Diceros bicornis minor: one gene and its partners. The protein of the gene in region 1 binds, or shares a complex with, the protein of each later gene. Links are inferred from orthologs where the notes say so. Each region holds a gene or a part of one and is shown on either strand. Other genes may lie near its edges. The genes, in order: TUBGCP6, TUBGCP3, MZT1 and TUBGCP5.

Region 1 (7,367 bases):
GACCCCACCCAGCCCCTTCCCATCCTGTGCCAGGCTCCTGGCCTGGAGGTGGGAGGCCCCACCCCTCAGTGACCCCAGCGCTGTCTGTCCCCAGGATCCTCATTGTCGACTGGGACATCCACCATGGCCAGGGCATCCAGTATATCTTTGAGGACGACCCCAGGTGAGCTAGGGATGGGGACAAGACCCTTCCATGCGACGCAACTCTTTGGAGTGCTCAGCCTGGTCTCAGAAAATCTGACGGGGGAGACGTGGCCGTGTGCTTAGGGATCAGGGTTCTTTGAGGAGCTGTGGAGCTAAGGGTCCTGATCTCTGACCTCTGACCCCGGCTGGCTGTCACAGCGTCCTTTACTTCTCCTGGCACCGCTACGAACACGGGCGCTTCTGGCCCTGTCTGCGCGAATCAGATGCAGATGCTGTCGGGCAGGGGCAGGGCCGCGGCTTCACTGTCAACCTGCCCTGGAACCAGGTGCCTGCCCCTCCCCCAGCCCACCTCCCCTGCCCCACAGCTCCGGGCCTCCTGAGTGGAGCCCAGGCATCCTGCCAGGGTCACCCCCAGAGGCCAGGCCCCAGGGGTGAAGACCCCACATCCCCCTGGCGAGGCCCAACACTGACACCCTGTGGCCGCAGGTTGGGATGGGAAATGCTGACTACGTGGCTGCCTTCCTGCACGTGCTGCTCCCCCTGGCCTTTGAGGTGACTGCGTGGGGCGTTGGGGTGGTCTCGATGGCAGGAGGGTGAGATGGGGTATTCGGTGCCCAGAGTCCTGTCAACTCCATCAGAGTGGAACAAAGCCCAGGTGGGTGGGGAGGGTCTCTCTGGAGGGGCCTCCTCTGTCCCTGCTCCAGCCTCTTTCCTGCTCCTCTCCACCGGCCCTGCCCACAGTTTGACCCTGAGCTGGTGCTAGTCGCAGCAGGATTTGACTCAGCGGTTGGGGATCCCGAGGTGAGGGCCTAGCCTGGCTGGGGAGGGCTCCTGGGGTCCCGGGCCAGGCCCCCTTCACAGTGGCTCTGATTCCAGGGGCAGATGCAGGCCACGCCAGAGTGCTTTGCCCACCTCACGCAGCTGCTGCAGGTGCTGGCTGGCGGCCGGGTCTGTGCCGTGCTGGAGGTGACTGCGGCGAGCAGGGAGGGTGCACGGGCCAGAGGCTGAGGAGCAGTCAGAGGGGGTCTGCTGCATGGGTATGGCGTCCTGCCTGGGATGGCAACATCCTGCCCCAATGACCCCCTTCCCCAGTCACATCTCTGCCCTCCTCCACCTTCCAGGGTGGCTACCACCTGGAGTCGCTCTCTCAGTCGGTGTGCATGATGGTACAGGCACTGCTGGGTGACCCTGTCCCACCCCTGTCAGGGTGCATGGAGCCGCATCGCAGGTGCGAGGGGCAGGAGGGTGGGAAGGGCTGGGGGCATGAGGCCAGGCCTCACTACTCCTGCCTGTCCCTGCAGCGCCCTGGAGTCCATCCAGAGTGTCCGGGCAGCCCAGGCTCCTCACTGGATGAGCCTCCAGGAGCAAGGTCATTGTGGCCTGGGCTGGGAGGTGGGATCACACCTCGGGCTCCCAGTAAGCGGCAGTAACTCTGAACCACCTCTAGATGTGGCCCCTGTACTGAGTCCCAGCACCGGCTCCCCAGAGGGGAGGCTCTCACCTCTGTTGCCTGGCGGGCCCGAATTCAAGGCAGCAGCGGCCCAGGCCGTGGCTGCATTGAGCTCCCTCCTGGACCAGCTGCGCCTCCACCCCACGCCCTCCGTCCGCACAGCTGTTGCCCTGACTGCGCTGGATGCAGCACTGCTCCTGCCCCCTGATGTCCTCCATCAGGAGGGGTCAGCCCCGCAGGAGGAGACGCAGGTCTGGGCCAGGTGGGCAGAGTGGGCCTGGGGAGAGGGGTGAGGCTGTGTCCACCCATATGCCTGTGTGTGACTCACCTGTGGTCTATGTGTCACCCTATGTCCATGTGTCCCTCTGGTTTGCCCACCACAGGCCACATGAGGCCTTGGCCCAGGACAAGGCCCTCACTGCACTCGGGAAGGTCCTGTATCTCTTGGATGGGATCCTGGATGGGCAGGTGGGGGCACCTGGGAGGGGCGGGGGTGGCTGTGGAGCCAGGGGCAGGGCCCAGGACCTACCCGTGATGGGTGGCCTGTCCAGGGGAGGACTGGGTGGTGCAGAACCACGACACGAGTGTGGCCTTGTGCCCAGGACCCCTCCTAGAATAGCCCCCAGGGACGGGGTTCTTGAGCACCCCTCCTCAGTTCCCTCAACTAAATACTCTTTGGCAGAACGGTGAAGGGGGTGACTTAAGGTGTGGTTTTAAACATCTTATTTTCAAAAGTAGAACAATTTGACTTCAGTGTATACAGATGACAGCCACGTGGACAAGGGCCAAAGAAGGGATGTTCGGGTCTGTTTACCTTTTTGGGAATTGCCCTCCACTGCTGTTATTCACTCCACAGGTGAGCAGCGGCATCGCAGCCACCCCGGCCCCTGCTGCAGCTGCCACCCTGGATGTGGCCATTCGGTGTGGCCTGTCTCATGGAGCCCAGAGGTGAGCCTCACCTGGCCAGCCTGAGCCTCTGAGGGAATGGCCCAAGGGCATCTCCTGCCCTGGCTAGCCACATGGGGAGGGCTCTGGGAATGGACTCCAGGAGGGGTGAGTGCAGCCTGTCCTGGGGCCGACTCTTCCTCTAGGCTGCTCTGTGTGGCTGTGGGACAGCTGGATCGGCCCCTAGACCTTGCCGATGATGGGTATGACTCCTGGGTCATGTGTATGTCCAATCCTGCCTGTGAGTGGGCACATGACCCTGGGGCCCCAGGCGTGATGGGTGGGGGGAGTCTTCTACAGCTAGAATTTGGTAGAGGGGCCCTTGGGAGCAATGCCAGGAGAGTCTCCACTATAGAGGGTCAGCAGTCCTAGCACCTGTCCCCCCCAAGCTCTCTACCTCCCCTTCTGAAGTCTGGGTTCTGGAGGGTGAGCAGCGTCTCACACACATGCACACGTGTCCATGTGCTCACTCTCCCCTGGAAGAAGGAATCTATGGCTGAATATCAGGGGCAAGGAGGCAGCTGCCCTGTCCATGTTCCACGTCTCCATGCCACTACCAGAGGTGAGTGGTGATGTCACAGGGCAGGGCAGCTGCTGCTTACTGGAATCGTCATGAGGGCCAGGCCCCTGGCTTCCTTCCTGGCTTCCTGATGGGACTGCTGGTGTAGTTGCCCACCAAAGATTGGGAGGTGGGGTGGCCTGAGCTGGCAGGAGGGGTATCCCCTGAATGAGGGGCTGGGGCCATGCTCCTGTCCCTCCCACAGACAACTGGTGGGTTCCTGAGCTGTGTCCTAGCCCTGGTGCTGCCCCTGGCCTATGGCTTCCAGCCTGACCTGGTGCTGGTGGCACTGGGGCCAGCCCATGGCCTGCAGAACCCCCAAGCTGCACTCCTGGCTGCACTGCTGCGGGGACCAGCAGGGGGCCGAGTGTTGGTACTGGTGGAGGAGGTGAGTTGGGCAGAGGGGACATGCTGGGGGGTTAGGGTTAGGGTTAGGAGGTCGGGAGAGACCAGTGACTCTCTGCTTCCACCTCTGCCCCTGGCCCAGGAATCCACACCCCAGCTTGCAGGGGTCCTGGTCCGGGTGCTCCGTGGAGAGGCCCCCCCCAGCCTGGGCCCCTTCTCCAGGGCCTCCCCAGAGGACATGCAGGCCCTGGAGCACCTGAGAGGGCAGCTGGGGCCGCAGTGGAAAATGCTGCAGGTGGCCGGTGAGGCTACGGGGCAAGGCTCAGGCTGGATGCTTGGGGCCTTGGGGACATCCTGCTTTAGAGCTCTGCGGGGAGACTGCCCCTTGGGTAGTGGGGTGCTGCCCGGAACCGCTCACGGCAGTGCCAGGGGACCCTCCACCTCTTCCCAGCTCCTCCTCCAGTGCTGTGACCTGGGAGCTTGGCGTCGGCCGGGGTGGAAGTCTTTACACCCCGGGACGGACACCACCACCTGGCCCCCAGGGCCGGTTAACCGTCACCGGCACGGCTCGCCCGCGGCCGTGTCCCGACCGGCCCTGCGTCCACTCGGCGCCCCCGCCGCCCTGCGCGGACGGCCCGCCCTGCCCCCCACGCCCCGGCAATAAATAGTTAGGCAAAAGCCTGACTCCGTCTGCTTGGTTCAGCCCGCGCCGGCCTCAGTTTCCCCGCCGCGGGTCCGAGACTCCCAGCCGGAAGCGCTCCCTGGACGGCAGCTCCACTCCTGCCCCTCCGCGCCCCGCCGGCTCCCCGGTGACGCAGTTCCGGCGCGCCGGCTCCGACGGTCTGGCCGGTCGCGTCGCGGTGACGCGACGGCGGCGGCAGGAGCGGGAGCGCGCTCTTCCCGGGAGGCTGTGAGCGGGGCTCGTGCGCCTGACCCCGCGGACCCTGCCGGCCGCCCCCACTGCCCCTTGGGCGGCGCCTGCTTCGCCGTCCCTCCCGGGGACACGGGAAGGCCGCGGAGCCGCACGTGTGCCGTGTGCGCCCACGCTAGCGTGTCCTCGGGCTCGTCCCGCGCCGGGATCCTGCGGCTTGAGGGCCCGGACCGGGGGACCGCGCCGAGCCGGGCTCTGCGGCCGCAGGGCAGGGGGCGCCGAGCGGCACGAGGTGCCCGGAGCCGAGAGGGTGGGCATGGCCAGCATCACCCAGCTGTTCGACGACCTGTGCGAGGCCCTCCTGCCGGTCGCGAAGGCTCGCTTGGGCCAGCGCGGCGTGAGCCGAAGGAGGGCGAAGCAGAGCCTCAAGAGGGTGGCCTACAACGCTCTCTTCACCAGTCTGTTTCAAGATGAGACGCAGAGGCTGCAGCCTGACCCCTCAAAACTCCCGGTGAAAAACAAGATCCTCATGCTGTCCTTCGACTTGAGGGTGGGTGGCCTGGGCCCCGAGGCTGACCGTTTGGAGGAGCTGGTGGAGGAGCTGGAAGCAGGCCCTTGCTGTCCGCTTGCGGAGGTGGGCTCTGTTTTGGACCTCCTGGTTCAGCTGGCAGGGAGTGGCCCCCCGCGAGTGCTGCCGCGAAAGCGGGACTACTTCTTTAACAACAAGTACGTTGGGAGAAACGTTCCCTACAGCGGCTACGACTGCTACGACCTGAGTGTGTTTGAGATGGACGTTCAGTCTCTGATCTCCAGAGAGGAGTATCTATGTCAGGACATGATCCACAAAGCGCTTCAGGTGATGGAGGCGGCGCCGGGCACTGGCCTGCCCACTGTTGGGCTCTTCTCGTATGGTGACCCTTGTGGTGACAGGTTTGAGAGAGACACCCGGGTCTCGCTGTTCGGTGCCCTTGTGCACAGCCGTACATACGACATGGATGTCCGCCTGGACCTGCCCCCGGTGCCAGACAGCGCAGACCTCTCTGGACTGGCTATTAAGGTAGAGTGATGCTTTCCCGCCTCTGGCTCCTCAGGCGTTTGGAAATGCCTCCTTTGACCTTCCTTTGGTCATGGTAAAGGTAGGATAGCTCTCAAGCCACTTGTGGCTGAGCTGTGGGGAGGCAGGGCTGCTGGAATGCGCCTTCCTGGGTGGCGACGCTGCTGCCAACCTGCACACCAAGACAGCAGGCTGCTTTTCATCTTTCGTCTATCACGGCGTATTTAGTCACTTACTCTGCCCTCTAGAGTTGACTTTTGTTTTTGTTTTTTTTTTATAATTTTATTTATTTATTTATTTTTCCCCCAAAGCCCCAGTAGATAGTTGTATGTCACAGCTGCACATCCTTCCAGGTGCTGTATGTGGGACGCGGCCTCAGCATGGCTGGAGAAGCGGTGCGGCAGTGCGCGCCCGGGGTCCGAACCCCGGGCGGCCAGCAGCCGAGCGCGCGCACTTAACCGCTAAGCCACGGGGCCGGCCCTAGAGTTGACTTTTGAATTTAAGTTAATTAAAATGAAATAAAGTTTAGTTCCTCAGTCACATAAGTCACATTTCAAGTGCTCAGTAGCCACATGTGGCAAAAAATATTTGTTCATTCTCTACATGCAGTTTTATATACTTTTTTTCACCTATAAATGGGATTTTGCCTGCATTATTAAATAAATCATGATTGGCTTTTGTATTTTGTGGCTTTATAAATGTTGCTGGAAGGATGCGCTGTTATTAGTCGTTCCCTTACTATGAGATATTTAGTTATTTCCAAACATAAATAATGCTATAGCGAACATCTTGGTGTGTATAAATTTTTGTGTGTCTAGTATGATTTTTTTGTGTGTGCTGTATTCCCCAAAGTGGAATTTCCAGATTGGAGGCATTTCAGGAAAAATTTCATTGTAAGTTATATTGAGGGTTATGTGTTGTGTGAAATTGGAAATCGATAACCTTAATAAATTAATTTGTTTAACTTCTTAAACGATTCAGTGGGGGCAAAAACATTGTGTAGTACATACCTGCTTGAGAAAAATAGAAACGTTCTACAAGGTCTTTCCTGTAAGGAGTAAACACGTGTGTGGAAAAGTCCTGGAATTCTGATCACACTTGGGGGACATTTAGACTCAGGCATACGTGCTATTTCCTTCTTTCCCATGGTCTCCAGGTTCCTCAGAGTGTGGATCAGTCAGAAGATGAAGGGTTCCAGTCAGCATCCAATTTAACTCCCGATTCCCAGTCTGAACCAGGCATGACTCCAGACATCGACCTGTGGGACGCTGTGCTCACCTACGAGGCCAGCAAGCGGAGGTGCTGGGAGCAAGTTGGATGGTACGGGAGCCTCTGCTTTTCAGTACACTGCCCTTCCCCCCACGTGGAACAGTGCCTTTTCTCAGAGAGCCCAGGCGGTTGTTTCTAGAACAGCTGTGAAGGGGCTAGGAACTTGGAAGTTTCAGTCAAGCTAGTGTACAAAATGGTCTGTGTCCTGGGTGTCGAGAGAAACGCAGAGGGGAAAGGACTTCCAGGCTTTTTGGGGGCTCCCGCTATGCCAGTGACTTCTGCAAACCACACTTGCCATCAGAGCGGTCAGTTGGCAACTGAGTTACGTTCTTGCCCTGAGGGCTCCCGGTCAGGGGTCTGAGGGCGGTCTGGCAGGCTGTGTGATCAGTGCCAGGCTCAGGGTGCTGACGGAGCCTTCATACTGCTGTATGCATCTAGAAGGATTGAGAGTGGCGCTCTCCAGCTGACGAGAGGCTCCAGTCATGGCTGTTTCCCTGATGGTGCCGGCAGCTCGCTCCCTGGGCTCGTCCGGCCCACAGGCCTCTGCACTCAGGACCTCCCAGAGTCTGTGATGTGCTGCTGTCTCTTGAAACCTCCAGAATGGGGATAGAGGACACATGACATACGTTTCCAGGTGTTTGGTCATGGGACCCCTTTGTCACAGCCCACCTGCTGGCAGTTCTGTGGAACACCAGTTTGGGGAGCAGTGAATGAAAGAACGGGATTAGCG
Region 2 (7,378 bases), on another chromosome or scaffold:
CCAACAAGAAGAGATTCCTTTTAGGGTGGCTATAGGAGCTCTCTGGTTCTATGGCCATACCTTAAGCTAGAAATGTAAAGACTCGAGCTTTCTGAATGCCCTTTGGTAGAGTCCATCCCACTCTACAGTCTTTGCAGTTATCATCGCTACCAACGCACCCGACCACAGCAGCTACTCAGTGTCCCAGGTTAGGCTCTCAGCCAGCGCTTTGTCCCACGCAGCTGCATGTGGTAATGTGAGCCATTTTGGTGCTCCAACGTGCCATGGATTCCACCGTCAAAAAGATCTCAGTGTACTGCAGCTCAGACATGTGAGTAACCAAATCCTGGAATCCCATCTGAGGCTCTCTCCCCTGGGATCAGTCCTGTTAGCAAGGACTGTATAGTAAGCACCACTCTGCAAAACAGAAACCACTCTAGCAACTTCAACATGGGGGATTTAATACAGGGAATTATTTACGTGGGTGGTTGAAGCAGCTGGTGAGGACTAGGAGATTAACAAGTGCAGAAAGTGGCTACTTTTCACAGGGCTGAAGAGACAGCAAGAAGACTGATGTTACTGTATCCCACATTCTGAAACCTTCCAATGGGAGTGAGATCCATGATGAGAGTTGTACAGAGGAGGTTGGAACCACGAAAGAGGGGGCTGACTGGTGGAGATGTTGCCAAGAGGGATACTCAGTTACCGTCATAGGCAAAGTGAGAAGCAGAATGCTGTGAGGCGATAACTTTGGTTGTCTCCTCCTGACCTCCAGTTTCTACCAGTGACTCCCATCTGCTGAACCTGCCAGTCGTCCAGGGAGTTCGCATCACAGCCTTCTCTAGGATGTAGGGCAGATCAGGGAAGGGCAGGTAATGGATCTGAGAGCAAATAGGCAAACGATGGGCATGTCCTCCATGGAGCCATGCTTGAACCCCACCAGGCAAAGGTAATTTGTACTAGTTACCTGTTGTGTAACAAATCATCCCCAAACTTGAGGGCTGAGAACAATGAACATTTTATTTGGTAACAATTCTGCAACCTGGGCTGGACTCAGTGCGCGTTCTGCTTGCTTTGCAGTTTCTCTCTTGTGTGGCTGCATTTAGCTGGAGGGTCGGCTGGGGGCTGGGATAATGGAATAGCTGGGCCCCTCTCTCTCATTTCATGGGGTCTCAGGATCTTTCCCTTTCCATGTGGCCTCTCTCCATGATCTTTCCTGTGGGGTAGCTGGACTTTTAACATGGAGGCTCAACGCTCCCAAGAGTGCTAGGAGGAACCTGTCAGGCCTTCCAGAGGCTGAGGCTGGGAACCAGCACAGCGGCTCTCCCACAGCATCCTACTAGCTAAAGCAAGTCAGAGATCTTCCAAGGCAAGGGGAAGGGGATTATAAAAGGTGAGAATTCTGGGAGGCACAGTTTATTGGGGGCAAGAAATGTAGAACACTACCCCATAGCTATTTCCTCTACTATAGCATATGGGACCTGTTTTTAAGAAGTCTAATTTTAGGGGTTAGACTTCTGAAAAGTTTTTATTTTTTGCCAGTTACGTTTCCCCAAGTAGGCCAGGTAGATTCTCCACTTCTCGTCTGTAGTGACATCTCAGGCAGACCCACGGCCTTTTAGTCATATTTGGTTTTGAAAAAAATTCTGTCCAGTGTTGATGCAAATAATCCATAATCAATCTATAAATCAAAATTGGGGTGAGTTTATTACGAGCCAGATCTAAGAACTAGCCTGGGGCCTTCCTTCCCCAAGGAAGGAAGGGCGTCAAAGAAGTGGGGTGTACAGAGAGGTTATATACCGTCAAAGAGCATGTATCACATATGATTGGAATGTCCCTTTTACAGCAGTCACGTGACTGCCTAGCCTACCTACCTGGCACAGCGATTCACATAGCAATTGACGAACACAGCAGGTAGCAGGTCTGTGGTCTCAAGCTGGGTGGTCATGGCAGGTCAGCAATCAATCCCTAGCCTAGAGAGAGAGATACTTATCCTTAAAGAAATGCTGATGTGGGGGAAGTTACTTTATCTTAAGGGTATTGTTCTTGCCTTTGGGCATAGTAAATATTTAAAGCAGATATACAATGCATGCTCAAGGGTCAGTCAGGCCGTTTTGGAAAAACAAGATCAAGCTGAATTCCTTTTACACCAGATGGCTTCCTCATATACTCCAGTATATCCTGCTGCTTGTCATTTATTTATCACCAGGCAAATTCAAGGCGTTTGTGCCAGATCCAATCTACAGCTCATGACTTTTCCTCATTCCTGTGCACCCAGACCTCATCAGCCTAATGTATCTGAAGAAGGGAGGGGACATCAGTTGCCCTTCTATTTTCCTCCACCTCCCATTACTAATTTTAACTCTCTTAATTTGAGTCACAATGGAAGGATTAGGGACAGAGGTTAAAAATCTTTTAATTAACTTGGCACGAGACCGTGGCCTCTGTCAGTAGTCCTCACTTTCTGGTTAACCTTGAGTGGCCGTCAATGCCATCTCTGTGGCAGGTGTCCCAGGCCAACCCTCTTGTGGAGCACATGCATGACTTTTCCTGCGGGTTCCATGCAGGGGGCTCACCTCTGCACGGTTCCGGGCAGGGTAGGTCCTGATGTCCCTAAAATTGTCTCAGGACCTCCAGAACGCCCTCCTTCCCCACGGTCACTGAGCAGCTGTAGATGGACTTTCAGGAATGGGAGTGATGGTTGGAGAATTAGCAACGCCAGCGTGGCTGCGTCCTAACAGACCCCGAGGCAGTGTCTGCCTCCCACTTTCTATGGCTTTCTTTAAAATGTAGTGTCCTCAGTTTTGTATCTAGTTGCCAATTCTTGGACGAGTCCTTCTCTACATCCTGTTACATGCCCACTGTGTATTTTAGTTATTTTATTTCCATCTTTAGATCAGAAGAGCAAAGGCACACGCAGGTAAGTTTCAGTGACAGGAGCTGGTTGTAAGGACACATGAGCACATCGCCCACTGTGCTGGGCCTTGTGTTCTCTAATCGCCTTCCCTCTCTGTGCCGCTTGCTGTCTTTGCACCCTGTGACGTTGCAAGACTGCGGCTGGGGCTCCATGACCTCGAAAGCCTGGGCAAGCACAGCAGGACGGCTGGGAAGGAGGAGAGCTGTGGATGCTGCAGTCTGAAGCTGCGGTTCTGCTCTTGGTGTGAAGTCCTGGCCTCCAGTTGCCTCACTCAGACACTCTTTTGGCCTTTGTCTTGTGACTCTTATGGTTTTCCTATTCCTAGAACTCAAACGATGCAAGGCAGGTGTTAAAATGTGCCATCAGATGAATAGTGTTCCTTTAGGGCCTTGGCCCTTCCTCCGTAGGCTCCCATTAAGGCCCATTTGACAGCCCGAGTGCTAGCAGGGTGGTCTTGTTTGTAAGGCTTGGGTTCTCCTCTGACCCTGTGGAGGGGAGGGGTGGCTTTTTCTCTGCTTACTTGGTTGTTGGAAGTTGCCTGTTTTTCTGTGTTATAGTTCAGGCCACTGGAAAATACAAATTCTTTTGATCTTAATTCCAAATTCCCTGGAAAGAAACTTAGGTTGGTCCAGCGTGAGACAACTACTCGCCCTTGGTCTAATCTACTGACTTGAACAGTATACTCCTGGTTGCCGGGATCCCATAACTCTGACCAGCCGATGTGTGGACTGGCTCATCTGGCCCTGGACTGGGCCATTCTCAGCACCCGGCTTCTCCGCACACTCATGTGACACGTCTATAAGTTCGTGGAGAGTGACTTGTCCTAACTGCCTGTTATTCCTCCTTTTCAGGCCTCTCCCCTCTCTCACTCTTCATCTGACTTGTCTCTCATGACTGTACTGGTCACCTGGGATCAGGTGGGGACGGGCTCTGAGATGGTGAGCAGCCACAACACACTTCTGGAAAGCTGGATGATGTGCAGGTGTCACGCTCGACCAGATGTAAAATCGTAAAATTCTTGTACTCCTTTACACAGTCTTCTTCCACTGAAAGTGTGACAAGAACCGATGACGTTTTTAAAAAAGTAGGGACTATGGATGCGCTGCTGGGCACCAAGCACTCCCACAGCAAGTCAGTGGTCGTCCTGCTCTCGGGGACGTTTGGGGACATTTGAGGGTCTGAGCTGTCCTGACACTCTGGGGACGTCTGGGGGTCTGAGCTGTCCTGACCCTCTGGGGACGTCTGGGGACGTTTAGAGGTCTGAGGCGTCCTGACCCTCTGGGGACGTCTGAGGGTCTGACTACCGGGAGGCGATGAGCAGCGAGGCCCAGCGCGCTCGGTGCCGGAACCTTCCTACCCCGCCGGCGGTGGTCGGGGGGAACCCTTAGGCCGGCGCACCCGCGGCCCCGAGCGCCCGGAAGAAGCGGCGCCTTGTGGGAAGAGCCCGCGGTTTCGGCGGGTTCCGTTAAAATGGCGCCCTGGTCGCCGGCGGTGGCCGCGGGGCCTTAGCCTGTCGGGGACGCGGGAGCCCGGGCGGCGGGGTCTCCGGAGCGCGGCGGGCTCGGGCAGGCGGGCGAGGGCCGGGGGCTCCGCGGGCAGTCCCGGGCGAGGATGGCGACCCCCGACCAGAAGTCGCCCAACGTCCTGCTGCAGAGCCTGTGCTGCCGGATCCTGGGCCGGAGCGAAGGTAGCGGCGGGGCCGGCTCGGGGCCGGCTCGGGTCTCGCAGGCCGCTCCCCGCGCGTGCGGCTCGGCGGCGTCCCCGGGGCGAGAGCGTCCCCGGGGCGGCGAGGGGCGCGGCGGTCGCGGAGCTGCGGCCCCGGGCGAGGGCGGAGGGCAGGGCCCGGCCGGCTGAGTCACCGCTCCCCGCGCCGGGGCCGGAGTGGCGCCCGCGAGGACGGCTCGCGGACGCGCCCCTTGTCTGAGTCCCCGCACGGCGGGCGCTTGCGCGCTCACCGGGGTGGGGAGAGCGGCGGCCTGGCCGGTCACGCGTCTGTGGCCGCGCGCAGGGGGCGCCGGCGGGGCCGAGCCGCGTCAGGGGCCCTGGCCCTTAGCGGAGGTGGCAGCTTTGAGGCGGAGCGAAGGGGGTGCCGACGGCTGTCACCTGCCGTATTTTTCTGTAAGGGGCTGAGGGTTGAATTTGATATGGAACTGTTTTTGGGGAGTTTACGTAGGGAACACTGCTCCCAAACCCAGTCCTGCACGGTGTGGAAAGCCATTCTGTGGTCGTGGTGCTTGTGAAAATGGCACAGTGTGTCGTTTTGGTGGGAGGGAGGGAGTAGTGGGGATGCAGCGCGAAGGAATAATGGAGGCAACTGGGTTACTTATTCCTGAAGCACCGTAACGTGGAGAAGAAACTGTTCAGTTGTTGTGGGAAGACCTTAAACAAAATTACATCTAAAGTATTGGGACTACACTTTGGCCTTCAGGATTCATGGCAATTAGCTGACATCAGTTGTTTGATGTTCTATGATAACCTTAGGGGCAAAAAGTGAAGTTTTCTGTCAGTCTATTCAGTGCCACTGCCTTCACGCAGTTCTTGCTGCGTTTCATAAAGTTTCAGTGTCACTTTACTCATCTAAGACATTTTTGCTCCCACCCCAGCGCACTCCAGGTACCGTGTTAGGTGCTGGTGATGCAGAGCTATGCCGACAGGTCGTTCCTCCCGTAGATCTTAGATTCTAGTGGAGGAGACGTGATAAAATAGGTAAACGTATAATGTTCATTAGTGATCAGTGCTGTGATGAAAAATAAAGTAAAGGGATGTCGAGGGAAGAGGTGAGGGAAAGCCTCCGAGGACATGAATGGAGTGAGGGAGGGCCCTGTGAGCATCTGGGGAGAGCTCCGGGTGGAGGGTGCAAAGGTCTTGGGGTGGGTGCGAGCTTGGTCTGCTGTCTTCTGCGTTTGTCTCCAGCTCTTCTCTATGTGTCTCTCTGCACTGGGAGTTACATTCTGATTTGATGTTCCGAGTCATGGGAGAAACCCAAGAGCTAAGGTTGTTGGTTATGACTCGCTCACTTTAATGTCAGTGTTTTCATTAGACCGGTGGGTCCGCGGTTTTCCTCCAGGGATAAACCACATACGTTCCCATTGTCACAGCTGGACTTGGAAGGCCATTCATTGTGAGGTACCATGATGTTTCTCAGTTGAAACAAATTTTATATTTGCAGCTCCTTTCGATTGACTTAGTTTCACTGCTTCCAGGAGGTTGAAATGTCTCTTCAGCAAAGTTCTGCACCCTCCTGGCTCTCCATTTGGAATTGTGTCTAAATTAAGAGTGGGCAGGCTCTCTGTGAGATCCTGAGGGGATCCTCTCGGAGTAAAATATATTATAAAATCCATTAACGACAATGCTCTCTTTGTTCTGGACAGCTAGGATTGCCAAACAGTTATTATATTCATAATTCCAAATTATGCTACTATTTACAAAAGAATTTACAACTATTTAATAGCTTGCCTTGTTTTAATTTGTTCCACCTTAGTGGGCAAAGGAGCAATATAAATTGCTGCCTTTACAGTGTTTGACATTTGAAAAATTTTTTTTTTCATTAGTGGGTATTTTATCTGATAACTAAGTAGAACCTTTGGTTAATTACTTCATTTTTTAATGACATGTTACAAACAGTTGCTGTTATGCTTTTGTAATATATTGCTTTTCTAATACTATGAAATTGAGGCATAATAGACACGTTACTTTTAATGTGAATTTCATATGAATCAATTTTTCATAAAGAACCTTTTAAAAAAAATTTTACGGTTGGCTTCAAGGGACCTTCGAAGCAAAGCACCTAATGGTAGTGGTGCTTGACATTTTTCTAAAGTTAGTATAACCATTATTCCACCTTTTCCATCTTATAACACCTGTGAATTTGCTTGAACCACAACTGTCCACCAGTGGCAGGAGAATTCTCTCTCCATGTCTCTGCCTCTCTCCTGGAGCACATTTTGCTTATTATATCTTTGGATAGTCATTATTTGTCTTTGGAAATGATGTGCGTGATCTTATAGTGTTTTAACTCTTGTCAGAGGCAGCGTTCCTTTTCATACCTTGTAACCCTCTTTTTAATTATGAGATAAAGAAGAAATAAGGGAGTTTTTATTAGTAAATATTTCAACACAAATGCTTAGGTGTGACTAAGTACACTACATACTAAAGTAAGGTGATTGCCCTAATCTGTAACACCACCGTGAGTGCACTGTGAGCCATGTGTAGACAGATAAAGAAGTGTTGTGTGCTGATTCTTGGGCCACACATGGTGTTGCTGTTGGTTTCATGATTTTCCGAAATGGTGAAGAGCTCTTGATGAAGTTTTGAATAAAGTATGGTCTTCCCTGGATTATATGCTTGGGAAAATCAATGTATATTAAGTATACATTAAAAATTATATTAAATGTATGTTAAACTGTTCACCAAATGTCTATTAATATGTATATTGAAATTTCAGAGTTTTAGGCTTCATTTGAAAGTTGTACTTAATGTGTT
Region 3 (7,881 bases), on another chromosome or scaffold:
CTGTGTAGCATGGCATGAAAAGGGTCAGAAACACTGAAATAGGGAACTCGGATTAGGCAGGAAGAGACATCGGAAGCAAGTGCTTGTTTCTAAAAATGATTCAACATGTTTTAAGAGTATACTCACTACCCTTGGTAGAAGCCATAACCATTCACTGTATTACATTAGTAAATTACATTAAAATTAGGGTCTTTTCCCACTCTTTTCCCCTCTCCTATATTATAAATATATCAATTGAAATACACCAAGATTCTTTTCATAAGCCTACCCAGACAATACATCATTTATTAACAACTATACAAATGTTGTGTCACAACTTTGCTTAATTGTATTGTTGACTCTAGAGGGCAGGAATAACATTCTATCCTTCTTCAGTGTTCCTCACAGTGCCTCATAGTGCTCAACAAATATCTCTTGACTGATAGATAATAGTTGCCCAGAGTTGAATATACTGAAGAGAAGAGGCAAAATAAAGCACACAGTTTGTGTGAGATAAAAAATTAGTCTCATTTGTGACTCATTTGCTTTTAGATATTATTTTTCACCTTCTTTTTCAAAGGTATTATTTAGATTTAAGTTAAAATCTTTTTATGCTCTATCTCCATTCTATTCCCTTTCTACAACACTTTGGAGGAACATTAACTAATTATGAGGGAATGGTCATCAGGTTACCAAGCCAAGAGAGGAAGGGATAGAAGAGCCAGACAAATATTTGCAAGAGCATTTCAACATGTGCGCATCTTTGCGTGATTGAATTCTAAAGTTAAAGGGAAAAGGATTATCTATTATTTTGAACTGACAACATATGTACCTTAGGACTGAAAATTAAAAGCTGGTCATGCCAGTATGTGATATTTTTTCAAATATAAAAAAATCAGACTATAAAACTGACATCAACAAAAGAGTCCCTCGAACTATTAATGAATACTGCTATCAGTAATTTGTAATTACAGAATACTGCAATTTGTAATCAAAAACTAGGTCTGTTCCACCAAAGAAGTGCATGGTCTCACTACATTAGGCATCAGTAAGCAGCACAAGTCTGAGGCACATTAGTAGTCGGAAACCTACACGACACATTAACAAAGAAGTTAAGGCTGCTCTGATTACTAGGTGAATTCAAGACAATGTAATTCAGATCCCCAAGTGTCCCACATCAAAGTTGGATGATGTCTAGAAAAGCTCTCTCTGTTGTTAATGGATACCCTTCCATTCAATGTGTCTTAATTTGGTAAGGGGATTTTTGGCTTCCCTAAACATAGATGACAATGAAATAGCATTTTGCTTTACCCTACACCACCAAAAAAGAAAACAAAACAAAAATTCAATGGCAGAAGCCTCAATTAGGTAGAAACGTACAAATTTCAAAATGCCCTCCCTCTACCAATGCTGGGGAGGGAGAGTTGTCCCATAAGCAGCAGAGGAAGGTTATCTCTAAAAGAAAACAACTCCTACCCAGATTTGGAACTGTCAGTGAGGAAATCTTTCTGGATACAGTTCTTCAGTTACATAGGATAAATCTGTATCATTATTTTTCTTCCCTGATATCTTTACATATAAAAATATTCACTCTGGAATTTCCTCTCTCTCTTCACTTGAGAGTGGGTTATTACACTTACGTGCAAGAAAGGAAAACTTACCGAGAATGACTTAAGTATAAAGCTTGACGATGAATGTCTTCTGGGTCTATTTCTACAGGATTTATTACAGCTAGTTGATCAATAGACCATCTAAATTTCCCTGGAGTCTTAAGGAAAAAAAGTGAGCTTATGAGTAAAAGCAAACTAACATAGTTCATTAAAATGCTAACCAACATCAGCTTCAAAAATAATGTAAATGGTTACAATATAAAAATATCTTACAGATCATATTTTAAAATTTGACTTCACCACTAAATTAAAAGGCAAATGGTAATCAAATCACACTGAATCAACTGACTTGACTGTATCTCTTTAAAAATATCCAACTCTTCCCTCTGGGTGATTTTTTACATAGTAATAGAAAAATTACAGTAGAGCATTAAAGGTATAGAAATTCCACAATTAACACTCATCAGTGATGTAACATGCCCAAGTAAGAATCTCCTAGAGTTATCAAAAGTCTTTACTTTCACTAAAAATGAACTGAAATTAAACAAAGTTCTAACTACAAAAGTGCCAGCAAAAGCTCTTAAATAGTTGATCCTTGAAATAATTACGAATGGCAACTAGCACTGCCCTTTCGCATTCAATTATCCAACTAAACCAAAAACTTATTCAAATGCTAATCTGTAATTCAGAATATATTTTTGACAAATTCAGGCTTAAAAACCCCAGAGGCCAATCATTCTGGCCTTGAGGATTAAGTTGCCGTCCTTCAATTATTTTTATTAAGACTGATTAAAATTTATATGATTCAATTAAAAATCATAAGGTGAGATTAATGACTAAACAGAAACTGTGTAACTGTAAAACTTTCCTCTAGTGCATACCTGCTCAAGCTGATGTGAAAGTGTAGCATAAAGAGCCACCCAGTTTGTAGATAATTTACTAGGTTAAAAGATCAGACTTCCAAAGAACTTCTCCAATGTAGCCCATAACAGTAAGAATAAGCTCAAGTGATGAAGGCTTCCCTAATCCCCTCAAGAGCACCTTCCCTTCCATGTCACTCTTATGCTTAACCATTGCTTAACCATGGCACCTATCATATTCTGTGGTCACTAGTTTAGTTGTGTCTATCCCATTAGAGTAGAGACTGGCTTCTTTTCACACACTCTGCAAGCTAAGAATGGTTAACAAAATCCCAAAAGAATATTAGCATTTCATGACATGTGAAAATTACATGAGATTCAAACTTCAGTGTCCACAAAAAACAGCTTTCTTGGAGCACAGCCACGTTTATTTTGTCTATGGCTGCTTTTGTGATACAAGGCAGAGGTGAGTATTTGTACATCAACGAGATGACTCGCAAAGCCTAAAATATTTACTGTCTGGCCCTTGACAGAAAAAGTTTGCTGACTCCTGCATTAGAGTATAAGTTTCTTGAGAGTTTGTGTCTAATGACCTGGACTGTTCAAGGTATAACCTCTATGCCTAGCACTGTATTTGACACACAGCAGCATTCAAATGTTTGCTGAGTAAATGAGAATAGATAATTAGATGACATGGCTTATTTTCTAATATGGTATTTGTAGACATATCATCAACCATAGTATCCAGGTACATCCACAGTTGCAGGAAACTAACATATTATCTATTAAATTAAAAAAAAAAGAGAGAAATGCTAACTAAAAAAAATCTTCTAGCTAACTTATTTTTAGCCCAACCACTACACTATAAAGAACAATTTAAAAAGCACATTCCAGATATATATGTTCCATGATAAATTTCCCCTCTACCTTGTAAAGAAAGATATTACATTTAAAATTATTTTTAAACACTAGTCAAGCATAACTTACTGGTAATTTTGTTGATTTAAAAACAGAAGGACTGGAGAGAGTTTGTTCATGGAGATTAGAATAATCACCAGGACTTTCGAAAGGGTTTAAAACAGGGATCCTTCCTGGAGTTTCCGGTGTTATTTGCATTTTTGATTCTTTGACATCTCCCATAGCACAGACAAAAAACTAAAAGGAAATCAGAAGTATGTATAATAGAACTACAAAGTTCCATAGACATTCATTTTGACAATTAAAATATATTCAACAAACATATATTTCACAAAAGCATGAACTCAAAACCTAACTTCTTGGGCTTTTTTATAATTTACAAAAAGCATCACATACATTTTCTCAAGAGATCCTCTAGATAACCTTGAAAGCTAGAAAGGAAATGTATTAGTGATACCATTTTGCAGAAGAATTAACGAGCTCAGAGAAGTGGCTTTTAAGCAACAGTTGACCAAGCATGACTGAGTTCACGTCCGCCTTCGAGGCAACTAAATGCTACTACAAGCACAAATCCTTTTCCAACTAAAGGACTTATACCTATAGTGTTTTTATTCATTATCTCAAGTCTCTAAACACTTGAACATCATTCAGACAACCCAGCAATTCCCTATCAAACTGCAGTTACTAAACAACAAGTATTTGTAGCAAGCAAATGAGAGACAAGAAAGCTTGTGCACGGGTGCCTTACTTGCACATCAGCCCGGGTCAGAGAAGTACGATTGACTGAGGCTAGGAAATTAACCCCCTTTAGTTGCCTCGCCTCAGACAGCCTCCTTTCGCTAAGACCCCCAGGATTGAAGGCAAGACTGCTTTACTTTCAGTCAACAGGGCGCTACAACTAGAGAAAAAAAATCCACTTCTTGGAACGCTGAAGTGCAGCTGGCTTCGGGAAGAAGAGCAGAGGAGGACACTCATGCCGGTGTCACCCCCAACCCTACGCGATCACTCTTTCTTGGCACCCCTTTCTTCCGCACCTACTCCCTCGCTGCTCCCATTCACCCCGGGGCGAGCGGGCAGGCAGGTCGGAGCCGGGAAACGTGAAGCGCTCCAATTCGAGACAGCAAGAAAGGCCAAGAACTACAAAGAACGTACCTAGTGGTGTGTATAAAAAGGAAGCCCCCCAAAGCGACTCCAGGGCGCTCCCGAGGGGCCAGACCAGCTCCCACGACAGGCAGACTCTTTAACTCCCCGCTTCCGCGCTGTCTTAGGCCAACCAGGGCACGGGGCTTGTGGGCGACTGGCCAATCGCATCGCACCGCTGTCCGCGAACCAGCCAATCGCATTGAGGCCGCGTAGCAAATTCGAATGGCAACTCCTCGCTTCACATTCCGCGCAGAGTAACGAGGCTCCAAATTCAAATCAACGCAGCCTCACGCCGGCGACGAGCGCGAGGGGCGGAGCCTGCCCGGCGTGAGCGGGGGACGCGCGGTGTGATTGCCCAGGAGAAAGGAAGGCGCTCCAGTTCCGGGTCAGGCCCTTCTCCCACCTCCCTCGGCCTCCGCCATGGCGAGTAGTGGCGGCGCCGGGGCAGCGACGGCGGCGGCGAATCTGAACGCGGTCAGGGAGACCATGGACGGTGAGTGCCCGTTTCGCCCCCTTTACCTCGCTTCCGTTTCCCAGAGCCAAGGCCCCCAGGCGGGGGTGAGCCCAGCAGGACTTTAGGTCCAGTTCCTGCCCCCAACGGCATCTTTGAAGAGCTTCCCAGGCGATCCGCCGGGGCCGCAGGGCTGGTGTCTCCATCTTTGGAGAGTTGTCTCTTCGCTCCTGCGTAGTTTGTCGCGTGCACGGCGTTGGGCCTCCACGTCAGCCCGGCGCGTGCCCCGTCCGTCCCACGCCGGACCCCCGCGCGCCGCCCGCGCCCCCTCCCCGCGCGCCACGCCCCTCTCCCGCGCCGGGTCCTCGCGTCCTTCCCTCGCTGCCCAGCCCCGCGCGCCGCGCCCACCCCACCCGTCTCCTGCCGCGCCAGAGCCTGCGCGGCGCGCCCAGTGAGTCCCTTCCTCTTAGTCGCGAGCGGGGCGCGCCGTGGAAGGCCTCCAGACTGTCAGCCTGTGCGCACCGTGGCCGTGTCTCTTCGGTCACCGCTACATTCTTTGTCCTTTGCATTTTAGTAGGCGCTTTTTAAGCATTCGGTGAATGAACGAGTCGCCCCTTCATCAGAATCGCCCCACTTTCGTCATGGAGCGGGTGACGCCGGTGTCCGGGGCCGGTAGTGTATTTCTCTGTCTTCGCGCCCCGAGGCGTGCGGCTTAAAGCCGACACACAGGTGGTAGAAGACGAACTGAGCGTCTTGGAGTTACCCTCTCTCTAAGCTCTAATGCGGGCTCTGCCACTTTGTACCTCTAGTGGTGAACTTGGACAAACTGCTTAAACATCTTTAAGTCTGCTGCGTGTGTGTGTGTGTGTAGAATGACGTTACTGCCTCCTAGGGTTATCGTGAGTGTTTAAATAAGATAACTAGGTAAAGGCATATTGAACGTGATCATTAAAAGATAGTTACTGTATTATTTTTGTGTTAAAATGGCATCCCGCTTACAGACTCCTTTGTCTCTGTTTTATTCGCATCTATGTATATATGTGTTTGATGGATGTTAGACATTGCTTTTTGCATTTTCCAGGGGATACCCACATCACCCTCTATCTCTGTTAAAACATAACCCCATGGAATTCTCGCTAAGCAGTATTGGCCTACATATCCTACCTCTGTCTCCTTCACTGTAGGCTCCACTGCCTAATATAACCCTTCTTTATAGAGATTTCTGATAAGGCTTCTGGCTTTTTCTGCACTGGCTGCTGCTTTCCTTTTCACAGAATTACTTATATTATTAGAGCCTTTGCATCTAATTTTTTACTTACCAAGTATCTTCCTTGCAGTTTTTCTGAAAAATAGAATTTTGTTCTTAACATCATATTCAGCCTATTTCCCATCCTTCTTGATGTATCAAAACTTATTAATTTTGTTTTGTAAGTGGATTTTTCTTTTATTTTAATTTTATTTTTTTCCCCCAAAGCCTCAGTAGATAGTTGTATGTCATAGCTGCACATCCTTCTAGTTGCTGTATGTGGGACGCGGCCTCAGCATGGCCAGAGAAGCGGTGCGTTGATGTGCACCCGATCCCGGGGCCGCCAGTAGCAGAGCGCGCGCACTTAACCGCTCAGCCACAGGCCAGCCCTGTAAGTGGATTTATGTACAGAGAAGCTATATGTATACAGCATTATTGTCTACGGCCACAGGATCCTATTTGAATAGAAAACTCAGCGTTTTATCTCTGTTGGAACTACTGATGTAGAAATGAGAACTGATAGTTTGTATTGGTTCCATCATCAAGATTTTTACTGAGAGAACTGTGTGTAAAATAAAGATTTTAGAGAGTGTAAGAACATGAAAAAGTGAAGAAATGCCAGATATTTTTAAAAAAGCAAAAATTGGAGGAGAGAATGTGTGGATTAGAGAACACTGTTCCTCTGCATGCAGTTTGGCCACACACCAGAAGGTAAAAAGAAAGCCCCAAGTAGGCAGCGGATCAGCCTTTGTTGTTGTTTTTTTTTTTTTTTTTTTGTGAGGAAGATCATCCCTGAGCTAACATCCATGCTAATCCTCCTCTTTTTTCTTTCTTTTTTTTGCTGAGGAAGACCAGCTCTGAGCTAACATCTATTGCCAATCCTCCTCCTTTTTTTTTCCCCCAAAGCCCAGTAGGTAGTTGTATGTTATAGTTGCACATTCTTCTAGTATGTGGATGCGGCCTCAGCATGGCTGGAGAAGTGGTGCGTCGGTGCACGCCCGGGATCTGAACCCCGGGCCGCCAGTAGTGGAGCGCGCGCACTTAACCGCTAAGCCATGGGCCCGGCCCTCAGCCTTGTTAAATGTGGCTGCCAAATACTGTTGTGTCCATTAGAACTGTAAACTTACAGAAAATCCCTGCTATCATGCCATAATCGGGTCCAAGACAGTCACGTAAAATGTGAAGTGAAATTATTGCTAAGTTAATGACTATTTTTCATACTGTCAATAATGATTCAGGCACAAAGGGAAACAGTGACACTTGCACTGTAAATAATTGACCATACACTCAACTGAAAAAGGCCTAAATGCAGTCTTTTATAATCCCACCTTCCTCCACCCTCATTCCCAGAAATAAAACTTTAGCTTGCCCAAGGGGCTGGGCTGACCTACTCAAACACAATTATTTTTGAAATTCTGTTAATGAGGGGTTTCACTATCCATGAGAGCCTAACTGAAGTGTTCAAAGCTTGTTGAGTCTGACTCCCCTCCTTCAAGATCTAGTCTATTTCTCCTCATCCTCTTACCACCTCTCTCCTGTCAGTATTAGAGTCAGCTAACAGTGATTTAATCTTTTAATGGGTGTCAGTGATTTGCAAGGATTGTAGAACTCAGCTACAAATATTTGTAATTTTATTGTGAATTGAAAGGATTTTGATAAAGACAGGGGAGGAAG
Region 4 (7,263 bases), on another chromosome or scaffold:
ATCATCAAGCCTAAGGGTGGGCTTGGGGACCCATGACTGAATATAAAAGTGCTTGGAACAGCACCTGGCATCTAGCAAGCATTATATAGGTAGTTATTATTACCATGTGCTGAGAAGCCATCCAAAAATTTTAGGATAGCCAGACGGTGCTATTATTTGTGCCAATCTCTGATCTGAATTTTCATAGTAGGTTAAGATGATTAAACAAGCACATGCTTTTTCTTTCCTCACAAGCCAGAGGCACACTGGATTTGATGGCATACTTAAGTCAATTTCCAGGAGATTCTGCTCTAGACAGTGGACAAGACTAAAGTAGAATGTTTAAATATTAACAGAAACAAACTGAAAACAATCAGATTGGAAATGGTAAAATACACAACAGAGACCTCACAATATAATGCATACCTTTATTTCCTTTATGCTCGGAAGTGATGCATTTAGAAATTCCTCAGTTAATCTCTTCCAACTAGCAGCTTTGCTGAGATCAGAATGAATGATGAATTTTTCATAAATTCTAAAATACATTAAAAAAATCAACTGTTATAAAGCTATATTAATAAAAAACCTATAAGAAAACATATTTATTTCTGAATATACACTTACATACATACACATACAACTGCCTTACCCTTCTATTGTCTTTTCTACTTTGTGGCTGTTGACATCCAAGAAATTATGAAATCTAAAAGAGAAAATGCGATTGTTATATTAATTTTGTCATACAGCTAAGTAGGCTAGTCTCACAGCTCTCCACGTCGCCCTAGACCCCCTATACTCAGCTATACATTTCCAGGAGTGCATCTCTCTGCCTGCATCACTTCTACCATCCAGGCAAACAAGAAGTGCATCTCAGAGACTCCTCAAGTACCCTTTCCGCAAGACACAGATCATCATCCTGAGCTTCCCCAATCCTGTCCTCTGGCTCCTTTGTCTTCCCATAATGCCCTGTGTCTAAGTTCAGCAGAGCACATTCTATATCAGGGGTTCCTAATCTGTTTATGCCACAGTGAAGCCCAGCGAAGCCTAGGGACCCCTTCTCAGAATAATGTTTTTAAATCATAAAATGAAATACAAAGGAAACTAAGTATACTGAAATATAGTATTTTTAAAAGTTTGTGATATAGTAACAGACATATTTCTTTATTAAAGCATTAAATAACAAGATCTAGCATGGGTCTATAACTACCATAAAGTAACAGCAAACAATACTTAGAAATATATGCAACTATAATATGATGTGAAATACATGATTTCTACCAGTGACATAGTCATAAGTAAGCTAATACTGCTTGTTGCTTTCATTCATGATTGAAGGAAATGCTACTTTTTATTTAGAGGTTAGTGTAATTATTTTCTTGTCCAAATTCAGAACACCTAAATTCTATCGTCAGGCTCTCAGGTTAAGAACTAGTCTACATCATACGTAATTAACTTTTGTCTGTGTTCTTTAAGGATGGAAGCTACATGTCACTTATCTCTGAATTCCAGGGTGTAGAACATGTTCACAATTTTTAAAAAAGCAAACATGAATTGTTCATTTTTCTGATAGATTAAAGCATCATAAAATTATAGTATAGCTCACTCAACTTTTATTTTCCATTTTTTAGTATCAACGCCAACAATCTGTACTTAAAAGAAGTAAATTACACTAATAAATAAATAATAAATAAATTAAATAATCTATCTAATTCTATCCCAGTAAATGGCTGAGTGGAACATCACTTTACCTACTACAATTTAGTTTTTCAATGTGTAAAAGGAAATACTGACTTCTACTGTTTCTCGCAACTCTAAAGTGATGTCCATCTACCTACTGCGATTTATAAATATTAATAAATTATTTGGGATACAGCATTTAAATTTCTCTGTCTTATATGACCTAGTCAGACACAGTTACATTTAAGAACTGAGTTTATTATTTCAGAAACTTGGTGGGCTTTTAGACTCATTGTTTATTCTCATTATAAACCAAGTAGGCGTTTTATGTATGATCATTGTTTGATAATCAAAATTATAGATTTTGAAAAACTGTTCACTATTCAAGATTTCTACTGAAATAGGTAGAATATTAACACTAACATTCTTTTAGTAATAATTCCATTACAGGTAAAGATCATAACAGTCTCGTCTAATTTACATGTTCCATAAAGAAAAATGGGAGCTCTGACTTCACCTAAGTAGGTAAACTAGATAAATTTTAAAAAATTAATTACATGAGAAACTGTATTAGAAGCTATATCAGGCAGCTTAGTGTACTCTGTGCCAGGAACTGTTCTAGGTGCTGGGATAAGAAATGAACAAAACAGACCAAGACCCCTACGCTGGCGGAACTTGCATTCTACCTGGAGGTGGGGGCGAGGAGATATACAGTAAACAACAGATAAGTTAGCCCATGTGTGATGCCATACATCACGGAAAAAGAAAGAGGAAAGCAGGGTAAGGGAGATGTGGAGCGGCCCGAGCAGGGTGAGGGAGCCGGTGGGAATACAGTTTTAGATACGTGTGACCACTCACTATTGTGCTCTAGAACTTCACTTACACAACCATTCACAGCCGTGTGGAGCGCAGTGTACTCGCTAGGTGCGGTGGGTGGGGCGGGGACCAGGACAGACAGACCCTCCCCAGGAACGCGCTTCCAAGGCAGGAGGCTGACCTCCAACGACCCACAACCCACTGCTTCAGCACGCGTGCCACCCGCGTCGGGACCCAGGGGCACTAGGGCCCCGAGCTGCAGCGGCAGCAGTGGACGCGGGGGCTCTGCGAGGGTCGGCCGCTCTCCCAGCCCCGCCTGACCCCTTCCCGTCCCAGGCGCGAGCCCGGCGCCGCGCCCCCCACCTGAAGTTGGACCAGGCGAAGTGCAGGGCGAGCTGGAAGTTGGGGTCCGCCTCGTCCCGCAGGCCTGCCACCCGGCGGATGAGCTCCCGCACGTCGCGCTCCTGCTGTCTGTCCAGCCGGCTCCAGAGCGGCTCCGGCCGCGCCATGCCTCTCCGCTCCCGCCGCCCTCCGCTGGCTGGCGCCCGCTCTCGCGAGAGTTCGCGCTCCTGCCGCGTTGCGCCTCAGAGAGGCTGCGGCCGCTGTCGCGAGAGTTCGAGCTCCCGCCGCGTTTAGTCTTGGCGCTGATCCTGGTTGGCGGCTTGAGTGTCCCGTTTCCAGTCTTATCTGAGTAAATTTAGGAGCGTCCTCAAAGGGCTACCCATGATTTTTAATCATATTAATAATAGTCTCTGGCTAACCTTAATTGATGGCTTGATTTGTGATGTTTTGAGAGCATCCAGTTCATTCTCATTCAGTGTGTCTGTTTTCCACCTGCGTTTTCAGGTACCATGACTGGTTACTTGTCCATCCTGCTCCAAGCTTCACTTTACTTCTAGAGGTAATCTCTAATGATCTCTCAGTTCCCCTCTGTCTACACAGGCGGTACTATATGGTCCACAGCTCAGCAGGCGTTAGCGAAGCGGGTTGTCCGGCACACAGGTGAGCGCTGCGCCTCCTGCTCTCCCTGGCTTGTGAGGGTATAAACGCTGTCGGCCAAAGTGGAGTGTCGGCCAATTCAAACTGTGCCTTTAAACTGTTTCCGTTACATATTGCTCATAACCATTCTGAAACCTGTTACATAGACCTCTTTAATTTTTTTTCTTTTAGAGATCTACTAGATTTTCGTGTGTTTTATTACATTGCTTTACTGTAGTAACAGATAGCTGATAGACCACTGTCTTGGTCCGTTTGGAGTGCTATAACAAAATACCACAGACTGGGTGGCTTATAAACAACAGAAATTTATTTCTCACAATTCCGGATTCTGGAATTTGAGATCAGGGTGCCAGCTTGGTTGGGTGAGGGCCGTCTTCCAGGAAGACTTCTGGTTGTGTCCTCACATGGTGGAAGGGACAAGGGAGCTCACTGGGGCCTGTTTCATAAGGACACTAATCTCAATCATGATGGCACCACCCTCATGACCTAAGCACCTCCCAAGGGCCCAAGCTCCTAAAACCATTACATTGGTCATTACGATTTCAATATACAAATTTTGGGGGGACACAAACATTCAGACCACAGCACCTCCCTAATACGTAGACTGCATATGATTGCACAAATACCATAAGGAGAAAATCATGCAGTGAAATGAGTCTACGGAACGGAATTTATACTCTCCCTGGGCGATCTTTTCTTCTCCAGTGTCAACTATCATCTGTATGTTTATAACTCTCAAATCTGTATATGCAGCTCACATATTTTTTAGCACCCCAAATCTGTAATTTCTTGTTGTACATCTCCAAAAATCAAAGTATATGTGCACATGTGTCTCCTCTACCTCCCTGTCCAGCTGCTAGGTTTTGGCCTCTGGATGGAGATTTAGAAAACTTTCCATAGGGCACTCCCAATGACTTGGACTTACTGGGGGCTGAGCCACTCTCCTGGGCCTCCCTGGCTGGACTGGGCCAGTGTCCCTATCTGGAATGGGGAGTTGGAGGAATTTTCCAGAGGTGCCTCTGATGACCGAGCCACATTCAAAACACTGTTAGGCCTGAGACACCTTCTGTGGGCCTCTAAGTTTGGCCCCAGATGGTCACCCCCTCTACAGGGGATGCAGAAACATTTTTGGGAAGTACGTATGAAAACAGGATGGCAAACAGGTCTGGTACACTGGTATGTGTCCCTTGCTGGCCAGGGCCAGTGCAGCCCTCCAAAATGGGCCTTGGATAAATTTTCTGGACGTGCATGCAAAAACCAGGCCCCATGCACAACTGCAGCCTGGCCAAAGGAGACATCCCCAGCTTCCTTATCCAGCCTGTCCCAATGTCCCCTTGGAGGGACTTAGAAATATTTAAGGGGTGTCTCTGTTGAATGTGCCACACATGGGACTATGCCAGTCTGGAAATGCCTACCACAGACCTACATGCCAGGGCAAGTCTGTCTTGGCTTCTGGAGGGGACTTAAAAAATTTGGAGGAGGTGTAATATCCTTCCCTTTGATACCAGCTCGAGACAAGGTTGACATAAGAGAAGCCATACTGTAGAAAAGAAAAACCCTGTTGTAACTTTGAACGACCTCTGACAAACTAACCCAGCTGGATTTGTACCCTCCAGGAGATCTAACTGCTCTGTAGATTTTACCACCCCTGCTTGTGCATGTACTTCCCAGCTGTGATAAGATGATAACTTTGTTTTTTTGAGTTCCTTAGGAATGTGATGACCCCCAAACAGAGAATCTATGCTGATAGCCATCATCAGTGAAAACTGAAAGATCTAGTGTGACACTCCCAGTCTGTAACACCAGAAGGTCAACATTCCTAACCCCGTCCCCAATAACCCAATGGCCTGTATAACTGCTGTAAGATTTTGTGCCCCCTTAAGATGGTTCTTTTGGACATGAGTTGGCCGTCTTCCCTCTTGCTAGCAAGCTGTAATAAAAAAGTCCTTTTTCTCCTACCATCTTGCTTCTTGACTATTGGCATGTCTTGTGGTGAGCAGAAGGCCCCACATTGGGGGGTAACAATTTGGCGACCCAGATGGGACATGAAGTCCTGCTCGTGGCCAGCTGACCTCGGATAGGCGGCCTGTTGGGTAAGTCCCTAGTGGCTGCTGAGGCTCTCTTTGTCTCGGGGATCTGCCATACCTGCTCTCCCGTGCTGATGCCAGCTGCCTCCTAACGCTGATGTGGTAGGAAGAGAAATGGCTACATCTGGTGGGTTGATGGGCTCACATCTGAAGTAGGGTGAGTCACCTCGGGGGTCCACCACCGAGAACTTTCCTTCCGCTCCATCCGGTGTCCCCTCTTTGAGAAGGGGGACCATCTAGTTAATAGGGTGCCCTACCAGAGTGGGAAGAGGAATAGGACTTCACCCAGAATCTAGGAACTGGTTTCAATGGTGTCTGTGTCTGTGTCTGTGTAAAGAGCTCCAGGATCAGACGTCTTTTGGGTTCGGGTGAGTGACGTTGTTGAAATGTGCCTGTGCCTAATTGTCTAATATCTCACCAGGATAGTGGGTTAGAGGCCCCACTGGTGAGATTAGGTTGCTGGGTTAAAGTCCCAAGGCTAGGATGTGAGAGACAATATAAAGGTTACAGCTGCTGAGGCACTCAAAAGGATCGGGTTCGAGTCCCGAGCTCTGGATCAGAGTCCCAGAGTACCCTGGGTTAGAGTCCCAGAATGCTGGATTTTGGTGTCTGTTCATGTTTGTCTGTGTCTGACTGTTATTTGTTGAAATTGGCTGCTTGGGGACTGAGTTTCTCGGTGATCATAATAAACTTCCTTTTAGACTAATCTTATGAGGGTCTTCTGACTCAGAAGGAAAGAGGCATTGTTCCCTCTGGTCCTTCAGGATGTTCTCAGGTGACTGGGGACTTTATAGAGGTGTCGGGGTGTCTGCCCATGACGTGCAACGGCCTCACAGGGACTCCTCCTGAAGAGTATATCTTAATGGGCCCTCATTGTTAGTGGTGAGGCAGTTGGCAGTGGCAGCTCATCTGGAGCTTAAATCACCTGAACTTTGTGGGTGCCGGGACACATAAGGGAAAGAGCCAACCCCTTGATTATTCTTGAGAGAACTGCTCCCACTAGCTCACTATCAGACCTTTTTGGTTGAGGCCACCTTGATAAAAGCCCCAAAAGGGAGATAACTATAAACAGCTGGCAAAAAAAACCCAGGATAATTTAAAATTACAATGGCCATTTTGGGCTCTTTTTGAGCCACCAAACCAAGGAACAAGAAAAAATCTTTAATCTTTAAAGAGTCGAGAGCTCCACCTTTCCACCAAAAGTTTCCAAAAGGTGTAAATGTTTACAGAGAAAAGCAGAATCTTACCAAGCTTGTTTTGTGTCCTGAGAGCTTGGCTTGATAATTTTCAGGTTGTGGGGGGATCCCAAAATATGGACGGACGAGAATAGGGTGCACCTCATTTTGCCGTCAGAGATAGACAGAAAGGCAGGTTGCACTCCTGTTTGTGACTAAGAGTCCTACCAAACAGCCGTCAGCCTCAGGGGAATTACACTGGCTATTTGAAGAAAGCCTTGGCTGGGCCTTCATTGTAAGGGTCTTGATTTTAGGGATGCTTTAAACTTTCGCAAGCTGATTCTAGCTGGAACATAAATATACTTTTGACCAGTCATGTCTAAATTCTGAAACAATGAGAAACACTAATTGGATCCCCACCTGAAACCCCTTAGGCTGTATTCTCCTGAATTGGGTGACTTTCAGCTACAGGTAAGCAGTAGGAGCTACTGAAAACTCATTGGTTTATTGATCCTTCTCCTCCCAGAGAC

The links.
Region 2: the proteins of TUBGCP6 (region 1) and TUBGCP3 are in contact, whole or in part, in a cryo-EM structure (PDB 6X0U), measured with the Homo sapiens proteins. The link is inferred for Diceros bicornis minor from reciprocal best matches to the Homo sapiens genes TUBGCP6 and TUBGCP3. Residues at the interface, in NP_065194.3 of Homo sapiens: Pro65, Arg67, Asn68, Leu71, Met72, Ser74, Phe75, Asp76, Arg78, Asp87, Glu90, Asp151; in NP_006313.1 of Homo sapiens: Pro9, Asn10, Val11, Leu13, Gln14, Glu25, Ala26, Ala29, Gln30, Phe32, Gln33, Val36, Arg37, Ile39, Gly40, Ser41, Phe43, Thr129.
Region 3: the proteins of TUBGCP6 (region 1) and MZT1 are in contact, whole or in part, in a crystal structure (PDB 6M33), measured with the Homo sapiens proteins. The link is inferred for Diceros bicornis minor from reciprocal best matches to the Homo sapiens genes TUBGCP6 and MZT1. Residues at the interface, in NP_065194.3 of Homo sapiens: Met1, Ala2, Ile4, Leu7, Phe8, Asp10, Leu11, Cys12, Ala14, Leu15, Pro17, Ala33, Leu37, Val40, Ala41, Ala44, Leu45, Asn48, Ile70, Leu73, Lys85, Arg88, Leu89, Leu92, Val93, Glu95, Leu96, Leu104, Leu105, Ser109; in NP_001065243.1 of Homo sapiens: Asn17, Ala20, Val21, Thr24, Val27, Leu28, Glu30, Ile31, Ser32, Ile34, Leu35, Asn36, Thr37, Leu39, Glu42, Thr43, Leu44, Ile46, Cys47, Arg49, Leu50, Cys51, Glu52, Gln53, Ile55, Asn56, Pro57, Glu58, Ala59, Leu60.
Region 4: the proteins of TUBGCP6 (region 1) and TUBGCP5 are in contact, whole or in part, in a cryo-EM structure (PDB 7QJE), measured with the Homo sapiens proteins. The link is inferred for Diceros bicornis minor from reciprocal best matches to the Homo sapiens genes TUBGCP6 and TUBGCP5. Residues at the interface, in NP_065194.3 of Homo sapiens: Glu290, Ala291, Ser292, Lys293, Arg294, Arg295, Cys296, Trp297, Glu298, Arg299, Val300, Gly301, Cys302, Pro303, Pro304, His306, Arg307, Glu308, Glu309, Pro310, Tyr311, Leu312, Glu314, Lys322, Arg325, Leu326; in NP_443135.3 of Homo sapiens: Asp211, Asp212, Arg213, Trp215, Leu216, His219, Val220, Val221, His222, Trp225, Ser230, Phe232, Pro233, His234, Leu238, His239, Ser240, Asn241, Leu242, Leu264, Val265, Thr266, Glu267, Thr268, Gln269, Arg272, Val302, Thr303, His304, Leu305.

What each region holds. Positions count from the first base shown.
Region 1 is NC_080764.1:562,547-569,913, forward strand, and holds the start of TUBGCP6 (gamma-tubulin complex component 6), read left to right. Parts: upstream 1-4,352; 5' UTR 4,353-4,630; coding exon 4,631-5,371; intron 5,372-6,524; coding exon 6,525-6,688; intron 6,689-7,367. Other genes in the region: polyamine deacetylase HDAC10, read left to right, coding at 95-163, 343-469, 631-696, 886-945, 1,021-1,110, 1,266-1,372, 1,446-1,856, 1,978-2,062 and 5 more. UniProt on the Homo sapiens protein: Component of the gamma-tubulin ring complex (gTuRC) which mediates microtubule nucleation.
Region 2 is NC_080748.1:86,404,547-86,411,924, reverse strand, and holds the start of TUBGCP3 (gamma-tubulin complex component 3), read left to right. Parts: upstream 1-4,375; 5' UTR 4,376-4,507; coding exon 4,508-4,583; intron 4,584-7,378. UniProt on the Homo sapiens protein: Component of the gamma-tubulin ring complex (gTuRC) which mediates microtubule nucleation.
Region 3 is NC_080748.1:52,856,993-52,864,873, reverse strand, and holds the start of MZT1 (mitotic-spindle organizing protein 1), read left to right. Parts: upstream 1-4,878; 5' UTR 4,879-4,930; coding exon 4,931-5,003; intron 5,004-7,881. UniProt on the Homo sapiens protein: Required for the recruitment and the assembly of the gamma-tubulin ring complex (gTuRC) at the centrosome.
Region 4 is NC_080744.1:72,501,668-72,508,930, reverse strand, and holds the start of TUBGCP5 (gamma-tubulin complex component 5), read right to left. Parts: upstream 3,002-7,263; 5' UTR 2,982-3,001; coding exon 2,836-2,981; intron 683-2,835; coding exon 629-682; intron 515-628; coding exon 406-514; intron 1-405. UniProt on the Homo sapiens protein: Component of the gamma-tubulin ring complex (gTuRC) which mediates microtubule nucleation.